Ovis aries: one gene and its partners. The protein of the gene in region 2 purifies or fractionates together with the protein of the main gene of each other region. This does not show direct contact. Links are inferred from orthologs where the notes say so. Each region holds a gene or a part of one and is shown on either strand. Other genes may lie near its edges. The genes, in order: ARL8B, RAB7A, PLEKHM1, GDI2, VDAC2 and VDAC1.

Region 1 (3,987 bases), about 38 Mb from region 2:
CTAACAGAACCCAGTCACGTTATGGTCTTTTCCTGGTGGCTCAGATGGTAAAGAATCAGTCCGCAGTGTGGGAGACCAGGGTTTGATCCCTGGGTTGGGAAGATCCCCTGGAGAAGGGAATGGCTACCACTCCAGTATTCTTGCCTGGAGAATTCCATGGAAAGAGGAACCTGGCAGGCTACAGCCCATGGGATCGCAGAGAGTCAGACACGACTGAGTGACTAAGACTGCATCTGCAACCCACATTGTATCATTCAGAAAGAAGAGTCTAGGTAATTCCCAGGCAGTCCAGTGGTTAGGATGCAGAGCTCTCACTGCCAAGGGTCAGGGTTCAATCCCTGGTCAGGGAACTAAGATCCTCCAAGCTGCACAGCTTGCCCAGAACGAAACAAAAATAGGAGTCTAACGTTAAAATAATAGTTCACTTTGAGTTCAACAGCTTTCCAGATGTTAACAGATGGGGGGAGAGGGAGGACATGCTGTGATTACTTGTCATGATCTATGAATCCACTACAGCAGTCCATATTTGAATACCTACACAAATGCAAAGGAATGACCCCAACTAATTCCCTTCTAAATATTTTTCAAAATACCATTTCTGCATTAAATGACTGTACCCACTACAAATAATACAACACTTACCATTTATCTAGCCCCTTCTATGGGCAGGCATGATGCTAATCACTTAACATCTGTCATTTCATGCACTCGCAGCAACTCTGTAAGAAACCTATTATTAACTCCTCTTAATAGATGGGAAAGCAAGGACTGAAAGAGGATACAAGGCTGCTAAGTGGCAGAGCCAGATTGCAAATCCAGGGCTGTTTGACTTCAAAGTTCATGTTCATTATGTCAAGCTAAACTGTCTACTAAACACACAAGCATGAAAATCGAGCTTATGGTTCCAGGAGTTCCTCAAGATTTACTAAAATCTTTTTAGGTTTCCCAACCATAACTACTTCTCTGTAACAAATACAACTGATTGTAGTAATAAACCTACAAAACACTATAATTAAGTCTTCTCAAAAAGAGAGGATTTAGGAAGAGACACCAATTCTTATCCCAAAACAGTATCAGAAAATTTACAATTAAATGATCTCAGCTTATCTTTTCCACATCATACAAGGAGTTCAAATATGAATACTCCGCCAAAGCCTGAAGTTTTTTCTTACTAATTTTAGTGGTATTAGATATCCATTCCACTCTTTTAGGCCTGTTGAAAAGTCATCTCAAGCCTCCGGCCCAATAACATTACAAGAGCCAAACAAGCAGGCAAGTTTTCCTTATGCTTATATGCAATATTCCTCAAAGGAAGTTTGGATGTCTGCTCATCTCTACTTCTCCTTCCTGTTGCTCTATCACTGCAAGGACTAACAGTCACAAGTTACACAAGTTGTGTTCTCCAACAAGACAGGCGTGTTTGAATCATTCCAGTAACCAAACCAGTTGGACAGCGAGTCGCCAATAAAATAGGATTTCACCCATCATCTAAACGGTGGAGAAACTGCTGCCATCTCTCTCAAATAGCTCAAAAGTTCATCCCTGACAAGCTCAAGACTGAGTCACAGCAACTCCTGGGCTCTAAATGAAGACTGACGAGAATCGTTCACTCTTATTCCCTCCCCTGCCAACCAAACGAGCAAAATTTAATTATCCTCCTTCCCTCAATCACCGATGAATAAACACCACACTCTATATAGGTTCCCAGGGCAATTTCTTTCCCTCCCAGAAACTCATTCCTTGGGCGTGGAATGAGCTACGTTTCTACCCAGTCCCTTCCTTTCTCTGTCTGTAAGAAAAACCATTACATTAGACCAACACCTCTTTTCCAACTTTATGCTGACTGCAAATCTTATCCCCTAGACGAGGGCTCTAGAAATAGAGACCCCACCCACCCAACTTCTTGGCTTAGTAAAAGCTGTGCACTTGTAAATCAACTATACTTCAAATAAACAAATTAATTTAAAAAATAAAAGCCGTGCACTATTATGGACTGGCAGGAAATGCCTGTCTTTAGCTTTACCGGCGATCGCAGCACCGTCTATTCGGCCCCTCGGGGAACGGGTGAGAAAACCGATTAACTGGATTACACGGGACAAGCTGCCCACAGAATTGAGGGATGAGCCCACACTGGCCCCTGCTTTCCTCACAACGGTGCTCTCCATCCCGAGTGGCCAGTTGAGACAATCTCAATTATTTTAGGCTTTCTCACGGGACACACGGACTCGCCAAATTCCACCCCTCGGGAAACTGACAAGCTAAAGTTAACCCCTGCGCGGCCAGCAAAGATCAAACCCGAAGGAAATCCCAGACCACCACCACCACCACCAAGAGCCTTAAAAATGTGACAAGGCCAATTACACCCTTTCCAAACCCCGGCTGCGACGAGGACACGGGGACACGGCGCTTGGAAGAAGACGACTAAATGGAAATAACCCTTCAACTACCGACCGCGCCGATACACCAGCCACCAACACGAGGGAAACTCCAGGTCCTGACGCCCGGGTAGGCGAAGAGCACGGCTGCCCCCTCCCTCGACACGCACACTCCCAAGAGCCCCGCCGCGCCGAGGGGACCCCCCCCCCAACCCCGCCACCACCAGCCTGGCCTTCGAGCAGAAGCCGGGCCGGACTCGCGGGCTGCGGCGCCCCGGGAGGGTAATCGGGAGGGCACTCACCGCGATGACATTGACGAAGGTGGTCTTGCCCGAGTACTGCAGCCCCACGAGCGTCAGCTCCATCTCCTCCTTCCAGAAGAGCGAGCGGAACCAGTCCAGCAGGCGGGAGATGAGCGCCAGCATGATGGCGGCCGGGAGGGAGGACGGACGGACGGGCGAGCGAGCGGGCAGCGGCGGCGGCGACGACCTCCACACGAGCGGGCCTCGGCCCGGACCCCCCCAACGGCTCCTCGGGGCCCCGGCGCGACACAGGCGGACACAGGCGGGCGACGGCGGCCGGAGCCAGGAAGCCGAGCGGGTCATATGACTCGCCCTACCCCCCACGCTCGTCCCCGCGCCGCCGCCGGCGCCCACGGCAAGAGCGGCAAGGCCTGTCCGGCCAGGCGCGCCCGCCGCCTGCAGCGCCACCTGGTGGAGCCTCCGTGCAGCACCGTGCACCGGCGTGCCGCCCTTGGGCTCCTTTCCTACTATAGTCCTTGGCTCATTCCTGTTGATCCATTCATCATTCATTTTCTCTACAATTGTTTACTGACTGTCAGCTCAGTGCAGAAAGACTTCAAAACTCTGGGGGTTTCATCATGAAAATCCCTGTCCTACGTAACAAAAGATGGAAGCCACACGGGCTTATCAGTAGGGGAGTGATTAAACTTTAGCAGATTCCCAAAACTGAATACTGTTTTTCAAAAGATGAGAAAGTTTTCTGTAAACTGATATGTAATGATGTCCAGGAAGTATTTTCAAGGTACATAAACTAAGGCACCAACTATGCATTATATGATATTTTCGGTATAATATGGGAAAACAAGAATACATATGTACATATATAAAACACATATTATGGTTGCAGAAAGAAATACTGGAAGACTAATAAAAACAGTTTTCTATTGGGATGAGGTAAACTGGACGGTCAAAGGCAGAAATGGGAATGAGACTTCACTGAATATCTTTTTATATCATTTTCACTTAAATCATCCAAGTGAGTCGCCCGTTGAAAAGTTTAATTTAATTAAAAGGTACGGTTTTCCGATTTTAGAAAACCCTCCCTCTGAGGAGCTTACCTTCCACAGAGGGAGAAGAACAGGGAGTGGCGCCTGTTCTAGTCAGACTAGACCTCTCGGAGGAGGCAGCCCTGGCTGTGATGACCTAGAGGCCATGAGAAGGAGGGCCAGGCACTCGTCCGGAGGAAGCGCGTTCCAGACAGAAAGAACAGCAGACTCTGAAGCGGAAAGGTGTTCAGAATGCTCTAGGAACAGAATTCAGCGCTGTCACCTCAGATTAATAAGACAGGGAGTGGGAGGAGAGATGGATGG
Region 2 (3,500 bases):
GGTGTGAGCCTGTGATGGAGCGCAGGGCACCAGCCTTCCCACGTGGTGGCCTTCACAGGAGGGGGTGGGTAAAAAGACCACAAGACGGTTAAAAAAATCAGAACTAATTAGACACAGATTAACTGTAAACAGTTCTCTCTCCAGTGGATGAAAGGAAGAAGCTTCCAGCGCAGACTCCACCCAGGCGGGTGTGCGCCTCCGGCCTTGCTGCTGCCGCGGAGCCCGCGGGGCGGGCGGTGGGTCTGTGGGGCGTGTGCGGGGGTCGGCGGTGTGCTGGGCTCTCCGGGCAGCTGGGCGAGAGATGACTGTCTGTGGGAGGAGGGGCTCGTGGAGGAAGGCCTGCACCTGTGTTCTCGGTCGCGGAGGGCTGTGTGCTCTGCTCTCTGCCTCTTCAGCAGCTGCAGCTCTCGGCCGAGGCCTTGGGGCGGTCGTTCTTGTCCAGTTTGATGGGCTCGGGGAACTCGTTGTACAGCTCCACTTCCGTTTCCTGGGCAGGGAGAGAGGCGGTGACCGCGGGCCCGGGGTGGCTGCAAGTCCTGCGGTGTAGGGGGGCGGGCCCCACAGCGGAGGGGCCAGGCGGGCACCGAGGGACGCTGCGGGGCAGGGGCAAGAGGGACAGGCTGGCGCCCTCCACCTGCACGTGCCCGCTCTGGGAGCTTCTGCCAGTGCCTGACAAGGACAGGGTCTGGGGCCCCAGCCTCACAGACCCCGCGAGCTCGCCCTGCGCGCCCCTCTCTGGACCCAGGTCTGTTGTCTCTTCCAGGCCTTCAGGAGAGCTTGCCCCCAAGGCTGCACATGCCAGGCCCGCCCAGGACAACTCCCTCAGTGTGGGGCCCACAGGACAGGGCCTGGGGTCACTTCACGGGGACTTGGGCTGAATTAGCGTTTCCAGCGAGGGGCAGCTCCCTGCTTCCTAGGGAAGAGAATTCACCTGTGCCTTAGACGCGGAGCACCCGCGGGTCGAGGCCCTCTGGGGAAACCACTCCGGTCACAAGTGCTGTGCAAGCGGCCACGCCCAGGACTGCCTGTAGTTTAAGGCGGTCTCGCTCCCTGAGGGCTGAGCGTGTGCCCCTGCAGCCTGGTCTGCTCACAGGCCCAAGCCATCAGGCCCTTCCCGGCCCCGGAGGCGAGCCGGCTCCAGCAGCAGCGGCCTGTCCCGCCTATTGCTCCAAGCCCTGACCAGCGCTCATCTGCGTTCTGTCTTAATGGAGGCCTCAGCGAGATCGGACCTGTGGCCCCGAAACCGACAGGAAATAAGTGTGTCCTTGAGCCACGCGGCCTGTGGGCACTGTCCAGGGCCCGGTGCTGGCTGACACAGTTAGAACCTCAGGAAGGTTTATTTTTTGTGGGGGTAGGTGGTGGGGAGAGGACGGAGGAGGAAAAAGTTGCACCTGGAGTGAAAGTCTTAGTTCAAATGGATAATGAACCAAACAGAGCCAAGAGAAAAGCCTCGACTAGCGAGGGGAGAGGCCGTGAGGTCAGGACGGCCGTGCAGGGAGCACGTGGGCTGCAGGCGGGGCCCGGCGCAAGGAGAGCGCGACACGGGGGAGCGGGCTCCACAGACGGAATACACACCCACCGGCAGGTTCTTCACTGTGGCCAGAGAGGCTGAGAAGAAGGCCCACCACACACAGCTCAGCCCCACCTCTGCGCACGGCCGAGGCCCGGGCAAGGGCTGCAGGGGCCCCTCTGCAGAGCATGGGCGCTGCGCCAGCGACGCCACCGCGGTGCCGGGACTGAGGGTCACCACTGTCCCCAGGGACAGCCAGGGGCCCCCTTACCAGTCGGACAGTCTTCCTCCTGCGACTCGAGCTCTAGGGGCAGGAGTGTTTAGGGAGGAAAGCACTGCCCTGCTGCTGTGGGGTCAGAGGAGCCCTCACCCGGCACCGGCCAACAGGATGCCGCTGGTATGTGGTGGGGAGGGGGACCATCTGAATAAACACCACAAAGAAAACGCAGGAGAACCTTACCTAAGGAAGATGACTCCTAGAACCTTTTGGGTTAACCTTTATGAGGATTGTTTAGGATAATTCCCAAAGTTGGTGCACCTCACTGAATCTTCACAAACGCCCTGAAAGCGGGCAATCTCATTGTACAGCTCAGACAGGATTTAAAAACCAGACTAGATCCCAAGACGGGCAGCAGAGCTGTGCCTCAAACTCAAGTGTATCTTGAAACAGGAGGAGCACGCCGAGCAGGGCGGCCCCACACGAGGTGGCCTCGATGTGTGCCCCCATGGAGCTGACTTACAGACGGCGGGACGGGGCCGCTCTCAAAGGCCCGCCACCACCTCTGGCTGCACAGGAAGCCCGTGGGGAGAGAAGGTGCGGGCCAAGGCGGCCAGGCCAGGGCTCCGTCCCCGGACACCCACCTGCTTGAGCGCGTTCCGGGCGATCGTCTGGAAGGCCTGCTCCACGTTGATGGCCTCCTTGGCGCTGGTCTCAAAGTAGGGGATGTTGTTTTTGCTGTAGCACCAGGCCTGAGCCCGCTTGGTGGCCACCTGAAGGGGAGGCAGGGTGCAGGTGCCAGGAAGAGCAGGCATCCCAGCGGAAGAACCCCCAGGACCCCCGCCGGCCACCGCCCACCAGCCCCTCGCCAGCTAAGCTCAGTACAGTGGGGCTTTCCCCTCTCAGCCTCCGACCCCGAGCTGCACCTGGAGGCAGCTTGTGAAGGGCGGCGGCAGCCAGCTCGGGAGGAAGTGCCTCCCCTCCGGCCCAGGACAGGTCTCCAGCCCCTCCTGTGACCGCTCAGCACACCTGCCTGGACCCCTGGCCTGATCACACACCCAGGCCCCAGAGCCCCCAACCCAGCCACATCCTGTTTCCTGACTCCCCACCCGAGCCTGTTTTCAGGAACAAGAGAAGAACCAATTCACTTAGGAAAGAGCTGACTGGTCAAAAATAAACTCAGCTATGAGTGAGTGAATGAAGTCTGGTCAGTTGTGTCTGACTCTGCAATCCCATAGGCTGTAGCCTACCAGGCTCCTCCGTCCATGGGATTTTCCAGGCAAGAGTACTGGAGTGGGCTGCCATTTCCTTCTCCAGAGGACCTTCCCGACCCAGGGATTGAACCCGGGTCTCCCGCATTGTAAGCAGACGCTTTACCGTCTGAGCCACCAGGAAAACTCGGCTATGCTTGACGACATCTCTGTCTACACCGACATCTCTGTCTACACTCCCCAGAGATGCTACTGGAAAGGAAGCCAGAGCAGTTTTACTCAAAAGCCCAAAGCACCTCCCGCCCCGCGGGATCTGGGGGGGCCCCGCTGCGGGAGGACGACAGCTGATGGCAACCGAACCCTCCCCCAGGGTCAGAAGCAGAGGCGCCCACAAGCCCGAGTCACGGCTGTGCGGGTGGTGTGGGGGTCTCAGAGGGCCTCCTGGGCCCCAGTCCCCAGGGGCAGCCGGCCTGAAGATGGCGCCCCTGTGCACCCCCAGAGCCACGAGGTGCTCAGCACAGACCCTCCGTGTGCACAGGGTACCTCAGAACAGGCGGCCCAG
Region 3 (3,500 bases), on a different chromosome or scaffold from region 2:
TATGGGGGCGCCTGCGGGGAGCAGGAAGGAGTGCAGAGCCTAGAGCAGGAACCCCAGTGCGGGCAGGCTGGAGGTGGGGGACAGGGAGTCAGCACCTGCACAGAAGCAGCCCTGGGAGTCGAGGCCTTTCTCTGTGGGGATGGCCACCAGGTACTGCAGCAGGAAGCCGTTCTCCCGCGTGGCGAACTTCAGCACCTCCTGACAGCTTTCATCCAGACTGCCGCCCAGGGTCACTGCCTCCTCGGCCGTCTCCAGGTAGGACGCCAGGACCTTGCGTAGCACGTCCCTCCACAGGGCAGCCTCCTCGGCATTCCCGGCTTGCAGCTTCAGGATGGCCTTGGCCGTAATGATTTTGAAGAAGGCTGGGCCCCCGAGACTCGTGTCCGGCAGGATATCTCGGATGGTCTCGACTCCATGGCTGTCACTTAACATCTTCTCGTTGTTCCTCACGCGGAAGCACTTGAGGGACTCCAAGGACAGGGAAAAGATGTAGGGCATCCATGTGCGGTCCGTGTACAGATAGAGAAGGGACTCTTTGATGGCGTCAGGCTCAGGCACCTGGGAGAAGGACCAGTTGAACTGCAGCCCCTGGGGGGTTTCAGCCTCTGTGTGCAGGTCCGAGGGGGCGGCACAGCCACCCTGGGAGGCCTCTGGAGGGTCTTCGGGCTGCTCCGGGTACTGGATGGTCACCCACTCCTCCTCCTGCAGGGGCCGGCACTTCTGCAGCGCCTCGCGCACCCGGTCCAGCCAGTCCTCGGCTTCATCCCGGGACGAGGCGCGCAGGGTCAGCTTCTTGCCGGAGAAGAGCAGCTCGAAGCGGCCGTCACTGTGGGCCGGCCCCACAGACTCGCAGCGCAGCAGTGAGCAGGTGTCCACGCAGGTGCGCTCCTTGCCACTCAGGTAGAGGCGCAACTCCAGCGGGGAGAGCTCGCAGAAGAGTTCCTTCCAGATGCCCATGGCCCCCCGCCGCTCCACCGTGCCCAGCTTCAGGAGCCCCCGGAATGGGTTGGACAGCCCTGCAGGCAGAAAGAGGCACTTTAGATGATAGGCCTGGCCCTTCGTCACCCTGGATAATCTCCGGGGCCTGAGTCCTGTCCTGGGTGTGGACTCCGTGACCACCTGGAGAACACAGGCCACCGCCGGCTGGATGGGAACGTATTTTGAGAGCCTCCCTCCCACCCTTGCCCCAGCTGATAACTGTGCTCTTGAATTTCACTGAGAAAATAAAAGCACGTCAACAATCACCTCCATGAGCGCTTCACTACACCCTCCCCTTCCAGCATCTGCAGCCACACTCTGAGCCCCGTCGCTGGGGATGAACTGACTGTGCTTCTGTCTGAGGCCACCCTCCCATCTGTGCAATTGCGCAGGGGTCCCCCCCTCCACCACCCCGCCTGATCAAGGACAAGGACGTCTCTCCAGCAATCTTTTCTGCCCCTCCTGCGTCACTGTCTTCTCCCTCTCTCTTGGATCATTCCCACCAGCCCACAAACACGCTGTTATTTCTCCCAGCATTAAAAATATCTCTCGACTCTACTCACATCTCTAATTACCACCCTGGGTCTCTGTCCCCTTTACAGAAACCCCCCTGAGGAGGTGTGGGAATGTCTCTGGGACCCACTCCTTCTGTTCTTTCTTGAACCTCCTCCGAGCAGCCTTCTGTCCCGAGTCCACAGAACCTGCCCTTGGGAAGGCTACCAGGCCCTCCTGTTGCCAAGTCCAAAGCCTAGTCGTTGGTCCCCATCTGGCCTGGCCCATCAGCATCACTGTACACAGCAGAGCCCCCCTTTCCTGGGGTCTTCTCTGCTGTCACTGGCCCCCCTCTCCTGTCTCCCTGATGCTCTCTCCTCTCACTGGCCTCTTCATGGAGGCCCTGGGCTCGGCCCTGGTTCTCTTCTCTACTAATACCCACTTTTCCTAGCTGATCTTCCCTGGTCTTGGAGCTTTATGCCAACAACTTCTCAGTTTTTATCTCCAGCCTGGACCTCACCCTTGAGCTTTAGATTCCGATCTCCATCTGCTCCGTGTATGTCTAATAGGCTTCTCAAAGTTGACACGTCCAAAACTGTGTTCCTGATTCTCCCACTCCAAACCCACTTTCCTCCTGATGTTCTTCATCTAGTAAAATGGCAAACTTCATCCTCCCAGATGCTTGGGCTAAAAACTTTGGAGCTATCCTTGATTTTTTTTTTTCCCTTTCACACCCCACATCTAATCTATCAGCAAATCCTCTTGGTATATCTAGAGCCTTCCTCCACTTCTCACCTCCTCCAACACTACCACAGGGGATTGGTTCACCATCATTCCTGGCCAGGCTTATGGCTGTGGCCTCCTGACTGGTCTATGTCCCCCTGAAGCGCCTCAAGAAATGAGCCAGGATGATTGCCCCGGAGAGTCCCCCAAATCAGATCGCGTCTCTCTCAGAGCAAAAGCCAACGTCCTTCCTGTGGCCCATGAGGCCCCGCATCACTCTGACCTCACCTCTAGCCACCCCCTTCCCATCTCCTCTGTTCCAGCTACTCTGGTCTCTGCTGCTTACTGGACACATCAAGCATGTTTCTGTTGCAGGGCCTTCGCACACGTTCTCCCTGCTTAAAATACGATCGCCTCATGCCTCTCTCCCCACCTTTCAAGCCACCTCACATGTCACCTAATTTGTGAGGGCTTCCTTGGCCAGCCTTTACTCATTTATTTACTTTCTGGCCGTGCCGTGCAGCTTGCAGGATCTTCATTCCCCACACAGGGACTGAACGTGGGCCCCAGCAGTGAAAGTGTGGACTCCTAACCATTGGACCATGAGGGGAGTCCCTGGCTGTCCTTAATGGTACCCTGCCCACCTCCCGTTTACTATTCCCCACAGGAATGATCACCCGCCCCGACTATATGTTGACTTGTTCATCTGCTTATTTCCTGTCTCTCACGCTAGAATACAACTCCCATGAAGATAAGGACCTGGCTTGGTTTCCTGTTGTGTCCCCAGCACCTAGAATAGTACCTGGCACATCGCAGGTGCCCAATAAATCTGTTGAGTAGGGAGTGTGTGTACTACACACAGCCCAAGGCTCCCTGATCTTCCTCGGGGGGGGGGGGGGGGAAGGGGCTAGCCTTCTTCCTGAAAAAAGGGGGTCCAAAGGACACACAATTCTCTCTCCCAGCTTGGACCAGCCTTAGAGATTTCAAACCACTGTGTAGGGCCTTCCTATCCTCCCGGGTACCTGATGACGCAGGCATAAAGCACACCTTCTCTGGTATGGTTGTAACCATTACATGGGCTGAAAGAAAAACCTAAGAGGACGTGGCATGGAAACCAGGGCTGTGCCAGACATAAAAATTAGGTTGTGGTTATTTAATGCTTTATGGAATTTCGTAGGGTGTGGAGGTCAAGCTGGCCTCCTTGTGAACTGCACACAGAGAACACTGAACAAACTGCACATCTGATAAACCCCACCAGAGCTGCTAAATAAACCATCTGAGAGAAGGGCCTTAGGGAGGAGCAGTTG
Region 4 (4,268 bases), on a different chromosome or scaffold from region 2:
ACTGTGTTACAGCAGTACTCAGTAATTAACCCTCCCTTTGTGAAATCTTGTTATCAGGTGTTCACTACATTCCTTAGTCTGTTAAGGAAGCTGTGGTATCATTTGAAAGCTTTTTTCTAAAAATTATGGTTCTTTTAATTAATCTTTAATCCCCAGATCAATTCAACTTTTCAACAGTGCTGTCTTTAAACTGCTTCGGCTGCCTGGGGAAAGTGGTACTTCCCAACTATGTTTTACGGACTCTGGTTCTGAAAAGGCACTTCTATGATTCAGAACATTTACAAATACATTCCTCACTTACTATACCTCAAGAAAATAAAGTTATGGGTCTTTAAAGGGAAAGCCATCAGTTCCTTAAAATATTCAACTATATAGAACACTGCACTTCTTATAGACAGAATGAATATTTTGCTCTAGTTTACAGCAAACTATTTTAATCCTCCTTTAAAGTTACTATTAATATTGGTGCACTAATATGACTATTTTAGACATAATAATCCATAAAAAACAATGGCCACATTAGAAAACACAGAGAAATCCCAAAACTTCCTTACATTTTAAAAATAACAAGTTAATTGCACTTAAAGTAATTGACACACAAGAATCACATAACATTTGGTATCCATACGTGATAACATATGCCTGTTTTCAGGTTCTTAAATCTCAGGCACTAAATATTTCTAAGTCAAAAATTAAGTAAATGGTATGTTCACACCAAATACTCAAATTATAAATTGAGCGTTTTTAACGTTGGTGGTCTCAAGTAATCGAAGTTCTCCTATCAATAAAAATGAGGGTAAAAGATTTATCATTATTAAAATCATCCCATCATCACTACTACCAACAACTGTAATACAACAGTAATATGATTGCTCTGAATTGATATAATTTAAAGAATATCTCATAACACCACTCTAGGAAGGTTCACAGGAAACAGTTATCACAGCTATACAAACGACAGCAGAAATTGCTCTGATTTCTAAGTATGCACCTACCATTCACCAAAAAGGTCACAATTAATCCAAATGAAAATGTAAATAAGGTGCAACTTGGTTGTTATACAGTTAAGACTGCCCGCTTTGATACAAAGTGATCCTTCTGAGCTAGGCATGTAGAAACCAGCATGAGGGAAGAAAAAAGGAAAGGGGGGGGGGGGAACAAACCTGTGTAAGGAAGGATTTGCACTCATTTGTCCATGTTTAACTGACCTAATCAAGAGCAAATCTGAAAGACCAGCAATAACGGTAGAAACACAGTGGAACTAACTGGCTCTAACAAAAGGCTGGTAGCAACAGTGCCCATTCCAACGGGCAAACTAAACTACTAAGCTCAGCTCAGAATCCCAATTAAGCACTTCGGAAATGGAAAGAGAAAAAAAAACCCTGCAGTGGGTAGGCCTACTCATTTAGGCATCCAACAGCTCACCAAAGAAATTTAACCCAATATCTCACATTCCATCACTCTCATCTATTTTGTACAATTTCCCAGCCAGTCCCGTCTTTTTCTGGACTGGTCAAACATAGTAAAGCATTCAGAAATGCCTATTACCCAACAATCATCATAAATCACCACAAACAGAAAATAACATGCCAGCAAACTATCACTGTAAGTTTCCAACAATTTTTTCCTAAGAATATTAGCCAAATGCAAGTTTCACAGTTTTCTCTTGTCCAGAGAAATCTAAAATAGTTCTGGAATGCTACCTGAAAAAAATTTTTAAATCTTGAGAGATTACAATGCATTTCAACACATTTACATCAAATGACTCAGGATTTTGAGATCAGTTCATATGGAACACAAGATCAAAATCAGGGTTCATCTTCTAAAACGAAGCAGCCAGCCCCATGTCAGAATTCCAAATTTCCAAAAATCTTGATAAATGGAGACGGTCCTATCTTCAAATGGAATTATTTTGCAAGATGAGCTGTCTTCATTTTCTTTTAAAAACCACAGAAAAGTACAACTCCTGCCTGCGTTATCTGCGGAATATTACCTGAAGTCCTCTGAGCAGACAGCTAGGAAAATACATTTACCCCGGTGACAGGAACACCTGGCCTCTAGCAACCAACCAACTCATCATCAATTCCTTTTCTCAGGGGAAAAGGTTCAGCAGCGTCGAGGTGGGCAAGGACAGATCATACATAAGGCTGGCGAAGGCCAGGTGAGACCCATTTGGAGAAAAACTCATTTCCAATCCCATGGTCGTTCAACTGAGATTGGGAGGGTGGTTACACAGGAATGGACAATGCTTCTCACCTGGGGTGGGGGAGGAGGCTAAGAAAACCAGTTTTCTCAAAAAAAAAAAAAAAAAAAGTAAGTTCACTGGCCTGAATTACCAACCCAACAGCGATTACCTGTGACTGGTCACCGAAACTGACTAGCAGCGGGGCCTGGAAGCTGCGGAGGAAACGCCACTGGGCTAGGCTTCACCCTCCCCCACTCCTTTCCGTCTCCAGGCGCGAGAGGCCCTCGACCAGCAAGGGAGGCGCAGCGACGCCGCAACCCGGGCTTTCTCGGCCTTGCATTCCCGAGACCCTTGCTCGGCCGCCCCAACCCGTCCAGGCACCTGTCCGGGCCAGGCTTTTGCACACCGCGGTGTCCCTTCCCCGCAGGCCCCGCTGCAGATACGGCCCGCCCGGAGGGACCCCCCCCGGGAAGAGACCCCCGGCATCGCGGAGCGGGGGGCGGGGAAGATGGGGCTGAGCAGGGCGTGCGGCCGGCCCCCTCCCGGCCCCGGGCCGCCGCCCCTCCTCACCGTCAGGCCAGTGCCCAGCACGATCACGTCGTACTCTTCATTCATGGCGGGGCCGGGCGCGGACAGAGACCCAGAGAAGGCTCAGAACTCTAGGGGTCTGGGGCTGCGGCTGCCCCGAGAAGAAGGCTGACCAGGGAGCGAGCGCTCAGGCCGGACGGGGCCTGAGGGAAAAGGGAAGCGGAGGCAGAGACTACACGGAGCTGGCGAGCGGGGAGCCGACCGCCACCTCAGACGGGAAGAGAAGAACGGGGCGGGGAGGGTAGGGAAGGAGGCGAGGGAGAGAGAGGCGGGCTGCGACCGCGGCCTCCGCAGCCGGGGCGAGGCCGGGAGGAAGCCGTCGATCACGCCCTTCCCGCTCGCTCATTGGCTACGTCTCCGTCGCCCACGACCCGCTTCCTCTCCCACGTCTCGCGAGAAAAGGGCGGGCCGAGCCCCTGGTGGATTTCGGATCCGTTCCCAAAGCGCGGTCGCCTTGATTGGGGGCGGAGGGGGCAGTAGCGCGCGGGCCTTCGAGGGCGGGGGCGGGGTTGAGCTTGTGGCCGGGGGACCCCTGTCCGGTTCTTCACTCCCGCTCCCCATCGGGCGGCGGGGCGCACTCTGGGCCCCGCGCCCGCAGCTGCCCTTGGACTTTGGGCCCGCGGCGACCACGTGGCTGGGGCTGGCCTCCCCAGCCCCCAGGACCGCGGGCGGCCTCCCGCAGCCCGGCACACCAGGAGCTGACGCCATGCGGCCCGACTCCGGCTGCGGCTCGGCCCTCTGCGCGCCTAGCTGGTCCTCTGCAACTTGTCTTGCTTTTCTTTTTATCCTACCTCCATTTCCTGAAGGAAAAAGGACCTAATGAATTTTAAGGAGTTCAGAAATCACTTTTTTTTTTTTCTTAACTTCCCTCCCAATGTTATTCTTGCTTGATGCATTGCCCCATGTGCAGCCTTAGGAAATAAGAATTTAAAAAAAAAAAAAAAAAAACTCTACTTTTGAAAAGGGAACTTTAGCATAAAGGGGAAGGGCAGATTTGATCGGAAGCAGGTCTGCGCCTACTGAGAGCTATAATCTAAACCAGCTGTAAAGATAGCTGACCAGCACGTGAATGGATTTAGGCCACAGAGTGTAGGGAAAAAAAAAGATTCCCTGTTTTTTGCCTTTCATATCCGAGCCGGCCCAGCCCTGCAAACACACATTTCTTCTGGTTTCTATTTGGCATCTCCAGCCCTGGTGGCTTATGTTCTCAACCGAAGAGAGCAGATCCAGTGTTTTCAGCCTGAGTATGCAGACAAAGGGCTTCCCTGATGGCTCCCACGGTAAAGCGTCTGCCTGCAATGAGGGAGACTCGGGTTCGATTCCTGGGTCGGGAAGGTCCCCTGGAGAAGGGAAGAGCCTGACAGGCTGCAGTCCGTGGGGTCGCAAAGAGTCGGACACGACTGAGCGACTTCACTTTGACTTTCATGCAGACAAAAGAGTTGGTGTTTCCTTGAAGATTTATTCTCAAATAAGAGCTGTCTAAAGTGAATCTTGA
Region 5 (2,370 bases), on a different chromosome or scaffold from region 2:
GTATGGTGTGTATATACAACCTTCAGCACCATCCCTTCATTTCTCTTCTTCTTCACTTACTGACTTATCTTTCCTGGAGTTAATGATGATCCAATGTAATTTTATACAAATTTATAAACTGAAGATATGAAGTCATGTATCTTCTTATTTTACTGTAGTCTAAACATTTTATGGAGTTATTCTCGGGTCAGAGGACTCTGTGGCACATATTTATAAAAAGAGCAAAATAAATGCTCACTGGAAAAATAAAGTCCTAGCTAGATATCCTACCAGGAATATTTGACCCTAGCTGCCAAGTTTTTAACTCTGCAAATACTTGGAGTCACTAATAACGTATACTCATTTTATTCATAATTTGTAATGTTTCAGGATACCAAAAGTAATTCTAATGATGGTTGAATTTAACAAAAAATCTTAACCTTAAGACATCCACTGATCCAGCTCATTCAACGGCAATATTCAACATTAAAAGGAGCATAAAACAAACATGCACACAGCTGCACGGTTTTCATAAATGTCTATTTCATTATTGGTGGGGAGCGCATTTAACAGTTAAATACATTTAAATAATGTATAGGTGACTGCATGACTGCAGTATTGGTAACTAGATAGACAACCAATTCAACTAGAAACCAGCTAACAAGTAACTGTCTAAATATTTAAAATACAGCTCTTGTTTAGATCATCCTTTGTTTTGATCACCTTCAGGGGGTGCGGGGGGAAGCCTGCTGGTCACACTGGAAATATATTAAGGCCAAATCTTCTGATACCCATTTCCAGAGGTTTCTTTCAGCTGAATTAAGCCTCCAATTCCAGGGCAAGCCCAAGTTTGTGGCCTCCAGCATTAATGCTCTTCCCATCTACCAGGGCAGACAGTGTAAGCTTCACACCTATAAACAAAAGCAGACAACCATCATGTACCTGCAAGACCTCATGGGACCCAGCAGTCACCTCACAGCCTGTCACTTTTTCTCAGCTTGCCAGATGACCTATAGTGCCAGCCACCAGAGGGCACTTGGGAGTACCTGAGAGACCAGGCAATTCATTTGGCACGATCCTGAGCAAGGAAAGCATCAAGTCACAGAGCATAAAAATGTTAATGAAGCTCAAACAGGAAAAAAAAAACAAACTCAAAATAGCTCTAGAAAATACAATCATGTTCAGTGCACTATCCAGACTAAAAGACAATGTGGACCCCAGGAAAGGAAAAGCTACAAGCAAGACACATTTTGGGACAAGTAGGGACATCTGCATATCGACCATGTATTAGGTATTATTTTAAACTGTTCATTTCTTTAGCTGTGAAAACAGTACTGTAGTTATGATGCCTTTAAAGTGATGCAGTTAAAAATGTTTTACTCTCATATGTATGCTAGGGCTGATGTGTCTGTATGTTTGCAAAATATACATTTAATTTGTAAGAATATGTGGGTAAAAAAAAGAGAAAAGGATTATGTATACAGACAAGGAGGGAGAAAACAAACACGGTAAATGTTAGTAACTGGCCACTGTAGGGAAGATTGAGTGTTCAAGGCACCATTCTTTTCTTCAGGTTTCAGAATAGTCGAAGTATGGGGAAAAGGTTCCAAGTGCTTCTGAACCTTGCTATTCAAATGCTGGTTCAAGAGCCAGTGACACTGGCATCACCTAAGAGCTTGTCAGAAAGACAGAACGCCATACCCCAGATCTATGTACTCTAATAAGATTCCCAAAGTGATTCAGGCACCCTTGTATTAGAGAAGTACTGCTCTGGAAAACAAGCAAGGCTCAAATTATTACGTAAAGTAAATGAGACTCTAGAGATCAAACAACCAAAGCAATGAGTGAACAATGACTGGAGAAATAAAAATTACTACAAGACATTTCAGGCACAAGTGAAAAAAGTAAATAACCAGTCTTGTGCCTATGAAGGACAATGTTTGCATACTAAACCATTTAGGGAAATGTCATCATAGCTACAACTTCCAAATAGCCCAGCATTAAAAAAAATAAAAATAAAATTGTAGCAAAAGGTAAACATGTGTTCATTGTACTTTTGTCAATTCTTCTGTTTTGAAAGGTTTACAAAATAAGTTGAGAAATGAAAACTGATTTTGAAAATACTATCAGAACAACCCTTAAAACTTACCAGGCCTCAGAGTCTGAGTATAGCCCACTCCAATTAAACTAGAGTTGTTGACTTTTGCCTAAGATAAAATGCAAAAACACATGTAAGACAAATCTTTGAATGGAGAGACAAGGCCCATTTCTCTATCATGCAATCATGACATGCTCACTTTTCCATGTGAGGTAGTAAAATTTAATATTGTATTAAGTTAAGCAAAAACCTTTTCATACTGTTCAAGGCAAGAATACTGAAGCGGTTTGCCA
Region 6 (3,500 bases), on a different chromosome or scaffold from region 2:
GAACTCCATCAGCCCAAGGGATCAGGTGGGATCTCAGCGATGCATGATCCCACAGGTACCCACCGAGAAGCAGGCGTCAGGGTCAATCTGGTACTTGGCTGCTATTCCGAAGCGAGTGTTGCTGTTTCCTGCGGTCCAGGCCAGATTAACAGCAGTCTCCAACTTCTTGTTCACCTTCTGATAAATGGAGCCACCAAACTCTGTTCCATCATTTCTGCAAATAAGCACAGCACAGATACCAAGCAGCTTAGCAAGGGGGGCTGAGCTGGGCAAAGCCAACCAAGTCTTAACAGAGGATGGGAATGTTGTAAATGGACTGAACTGATCACAAAACAGGCACCAAATTACAAGCAGCCTGACAGGAATGGCACAGACACCAGGGCTGGGAGGGTTCACAGAAGGTAAAAGCTATCTCAGGCATCACTGGGAACATGCAAGGCAACTCAGTCAACTACTCAGGCTGCATGGGACTTGAAGTTTGCTTCCAAAATATTCTTTAAAATAAAAATGGAGACTAGGGCAATGGGATTGTGAATTCTGAGTGCTTTCTTCCTTCAGCTGCTAAAGTTATTATATTTATGAAATGCTGTATTATAAACATAGACATCAAGAACAAAGCCAGAAATGGTAAGAAAGTCCAGGCCATTCATACTCCTCAGAAGGCAGCCTATAGCCAGTGCTTAGCATCAGCTGCTGCACCCACTGCTGAGGGTGCACGGCCAGTAGGAGGAGCAGCAATTACAAAAGAACTTAACCTATAATTGAGGCTCGCTGGCCCATGCATACTGTTAAGCCATGCTGCAACACCTACAGTCTCGGTGAGCCCTGAAAAGGAGCAACCTGCCATATTATAAAATGTTTCTGTCTTTCAAAAATGGAATGAAACCCAGCAGACCAAACTGTTTCCTCTCTTCGCAGCCTCTGGGAATACCCTCTTCCCCTCCCTGACATTTTTAATATAAAAAAACAATGTCAAAGTTCTGCTCCATCATTTTGAGTGTCTCCAGTGGAAATGACACTGGAAACTGTTAAGGCAGAGCCTATATACTTTGGAATCCAGCAAAGAGCCTAGAACTCACTAACCCAAGAAAAAAATTGTTGCTGTTTCATTACAAACTCTGCTCTTCACTAATACACTCTCCTAAAGTAGATGCTCACAGAACACATTCTAAGTTCTTAAGTTCTCCCCTGAAATTTAGCCAGTCAGACACTGTGATTCCAAAAAGTATAGGAAGAGCCCAGACACCACCTGATCCATAGGGAATCTAACTTCTTCAGAAAGTCAGTATGCTATAAAACAGCAGCTTGTCAAACACAATAGATTCTGGATTGACTGGTATAACTCAAAGAGGCAAATTTTCTTGGGCTTAAATGTGTTTAAATGTTAGATTTCTCAATGCGTTCTAAAACCAGCAACACTTCCTTCCTGTACTGCACTCTTAAAACCATAGACAGAGGGAACTCGCTGTACAGAATTCATCTGTATGAAGCACACAGAATATCTGTTACACATCTGGGCCTCTGCAAGACCACGGCAACCCAAACTAGCTGTGTCAGCTGTTTCCATGCCAGTTCCAAAAATGAACCATGTCCACTTACTGAAAGCCTTGAGGCTCAGATAAGAAAAATAACTAACAGTCATTGCTCTTTCTGCTGCTGCTGCTGCTAAGTCACTTCAGTCGTGTCCGACTCTGTGCGACCCCAGAGACGGCAGCCCACCAGGCTCCCCTATCCCTGGGATTCTCCAGGCAAGAATACTGGATGGGGTTGCCATCTCCTTCTCCAATGCATAAAAGTGAAAAGTGAACGTGAAGTCGCTCAGTCGTGTCCGACTCTTAGCGGCCCCATGGACTGCAGCCTACCAGGCTCCTCCATCCATGGGATTTTCCAGGCAAGAGTACTGGAATGCCATTGCCTTCTTGTTCTTCCTAGAACTGTACAATTCCCAATTCCAAACCAAGGAAGCACTTTCTGAATCAGCCAAAATTCTCAATTAAAAAATAGTTGTATGCTTGTGATATTATTCCTATGACTTTTCTGCATGTTATCTTTTTAAAATTTACTTTTTTTTAACCTTTTTTGAGTATACACTTCTGTGAGTTTTTATAGACAAACCTGTATGGCCAGAATATAGAACAGTCCCACAATCAAACTCCCCTGTGCACCCCTTTGTATAACACCTTCCCTGTTCCCCTCTCTCAACCACTGGGCTGTCCATCTCTATAGTTTTCCTTTGATGTTTTAGTTTTAAAAGACTCACATTTTATTAATTTTTATGCTAATATACATCTTTGTTAATTTATTATAAAAAATACTCATTTTTTATTAATAGAAATGTTACTAGTTTAGACACACATACCATTTACTTGTCTGTAAATTTTAAGTCACTTCTTTAGTGACCTCTAGTGGAAAGAAAGAAATCTGGTAAAGTTGTTCCCAATTTATACCACTCATTAGTTTCTTGTATCTGCAGAGATATCACGGATGAAATTTTTGTTTCCCTTCAATCTAAATCAGTACTCTACTTCAACCCTCAAGTTTGATTACAAAGGGTCCTCTCTAACCTACCCTGTAATTTTCTCTTCCCTTCACAATACTGTCCAGTTAATAAACTTTTAAATGGACTGCCATGCAGAGAAGACAGTATTTAACTGAGACAATCATCTCCTAATTTGTCTGCCATGCCAACATTCCATTCAGTACAGCAAGCTGGTTCTCAGGCAGTATACAGAGAAAGAGAGAGGGCTACAACTCCCCACCCCCACCCTATTAACTACAATGAAAGGACCGCCAATGTCCGTAAGGCTGCAGGGAAGGGATGCTCCTGCGGACTGACATCATGCTCTTGCCACAACTGATCAGTCTTTCTATGTGCACCAGGGACAACATGTTACTGTCCACAGAATAGGAAGAACCTACATCACCTCAGGAAATGGGTGAGAAAAAAGAAAAACACTAGCAGGCCATTTGGCTCTTCTGATTCCAACAAACTCATTTCACAGTGATTAAAAATTGAGCTTAGAAAAAAATCATGAACACTTACACGTTAGTGTGAAGCTGGAACTCATCGGTCTTGTAGCCAACTGCAAAGTTGCTCTGAGTCACTCGAGATTTTGCAGTCTCAAAATTCATCTGGTAGCCAGCCAGCCAGCCTTCATAACCCAGCACCAGAGCACCCCGGATGGAAGGACCGGCTATGTCAAAATCCACATCGCAGCCCAGGTTGATATGTTCCCGCTTGTACCCTGTCTTGATTTTAGCATTTTTTTTCCTGGAGGAAAAGAAATCATATTAAAATCAGAAGTTAACTCATTTCATGACAACCACTCCAGAAATACACATTTTAAAACACTAATCCCTATTTGAATAGGGGAGTAGGAAGGCAAAGTCAGGGCCCCAGATCTCCTTAAGCAGCTGTTGCAACCTCTCTTCAACCAAAATCCAAAATAATGCAGAAATGCCACCTTAATGAAGTGAGAACACAGGCTTGTAAAAGAAAC

Evidence for each region.
Region 1: the proteins of RAB7A (region 2) and ARL8B purify together in Homo sapiens (affinity purification with mass spectrometry; 4 studies listed by BioGRID and IntAct, with this or other methods). This does not show direct contact. The link is inferred for Ovis aries from reciprocal best matches to the Homo sapiens genes RAB7A and ARL8B.
Region 3: the proteins of RAB7A (region 2) and PLEKHM1 purify together in Homo sapiens (affinity purification with western blotting; 5 studies listed by BioGRID and IntAct, with this or other methods). This does not show direct contact. The link is inferred for Ovis aries from reciprocal best matches to the Homo sapiens genes RAB7A and PLEKHM1.
Region 4: the proteins of RAB7A (region 2) and GDI2 purify together in Homo sapiens (affinity purification with mass spectrometry; 3 studies listed by BioGRID and IntAct, with this or other methods). This does not show direct contact. The link is inferred for Ovis aries from reciprocal best matches to the Homo sapiens genes RAB7A and GDI2.
Region 5: the proteins of RAB7A (region 2) and VDAC2 purify together in Homo sapiens (affinity purification with mass spectrometry; 3 studies listed by BioGRID and IntAct, with this or other methods). This does not show direct contact. The link is inferred for Ovis aries from reciprocal best matches to the Homo sapiens genes RAB7A and VDAC2.
Region 6: the proteins of RAB7A (region 2) and VDAC1 purify together in Homo sapiens (affinity purification with mass spectrometry; 3 studies listed by BioGRID and IntAct, with this or other methods). This does not show direct contact. The link is inferred for Ovis aries from reciprocal best matches to the Homo sapiens genes RAB7A and VDAC1.

Annotation. Positions count from the first base shown.
Region 1 is NC_056072.1:21,259,328-21,263,314, forward strand, and holds the start of ARL8B (ADP-ribosylation factor-like protein 8B), read right to left. Parts: upstream 2,801-3,987; coding exon 2,678-2,800; intron 1-2,677. UniProt on the Homo sapiens protein: Small GTPase which cycles between active GTP-bound and inactive GDP-bound states.
Region 2 is NC_056072.1:59,079,766-59,083,265, forward strand, and holds the end of RAB7A (ras-related protein Rab-7a), read right to left. Parts: intron 2,501-3,500; coding exon 2,372-2,500; intron 488-2,371; coding exon 392-487; downstream 1-391.
Region 3 is NC_056064.1:44,832,698-44,836,197, forward strand, and holds part of PLEKHM1 (pleckstrin homology domain-containing family M member 1), read right to left. Parts: intron 1,017-3,500; coding exon 96-1,016; intron 1-95. UniProt on the Homo sapiens protein: Acts as a multivalent adapter protein that regulates Rab7-dependent and HOPS complex-dependent fusion events in the endolysosomal system and couples autophagic and the endocytic trafficking pathways.
Region 4 is NC_056066.1:42,477,632-42,481,899, reverse strand, and holds the start of GDI2 (rab GDP dissociation inhibitor beta), read right to left. Parts: upstream 2,801-4,268; coding exon 2,756-2,800; intron 1-2,755. UniProt on the Homo sapiens protein: GDP-dissociation inhibitor preventing the GDP to GTP exchange of most Rab proteins. By keeping these small GTPases in their inactive GDP-bound form regulates intracellular membrane trafficking.
Region 5 is NC_056078.1:30,199,748-30,202,117, reverse strand, and holds the end of VDAC2 (voltage-dependent anion-selective channel protein 2), read right to left. Parts: intron 2,187-2,370; coding exon 2,129-2,186; intron 891-2,128; coding exon 799-890; 3' UTR 501-798; downstream 1-500. UniProt on the Homo sapiens protein: Non-selective voltage-gated ion channel that mediates the transport of anions and cations through the mitochondrion outer membrane and plasma membrane.
Region 6 is NC_056058.1:43,302,189-43,305,688, forward strand, and holds part of VDAC1 (voltage-dependent anion-selective channel protein 1), read right to left. Parts: intron 3,272-3,500; coding exon 3,044-3,271; intron 529-3,043; exon of another isoform or gene 215-528; coding exon 64-214; exon of another isoform or gene 1-63. UniProt on the Homo sapiens protein: Non-selective voltage-gated ion channel that mediates the transport of anions and cations through the mitochondrion outer membrane and plasma membrane.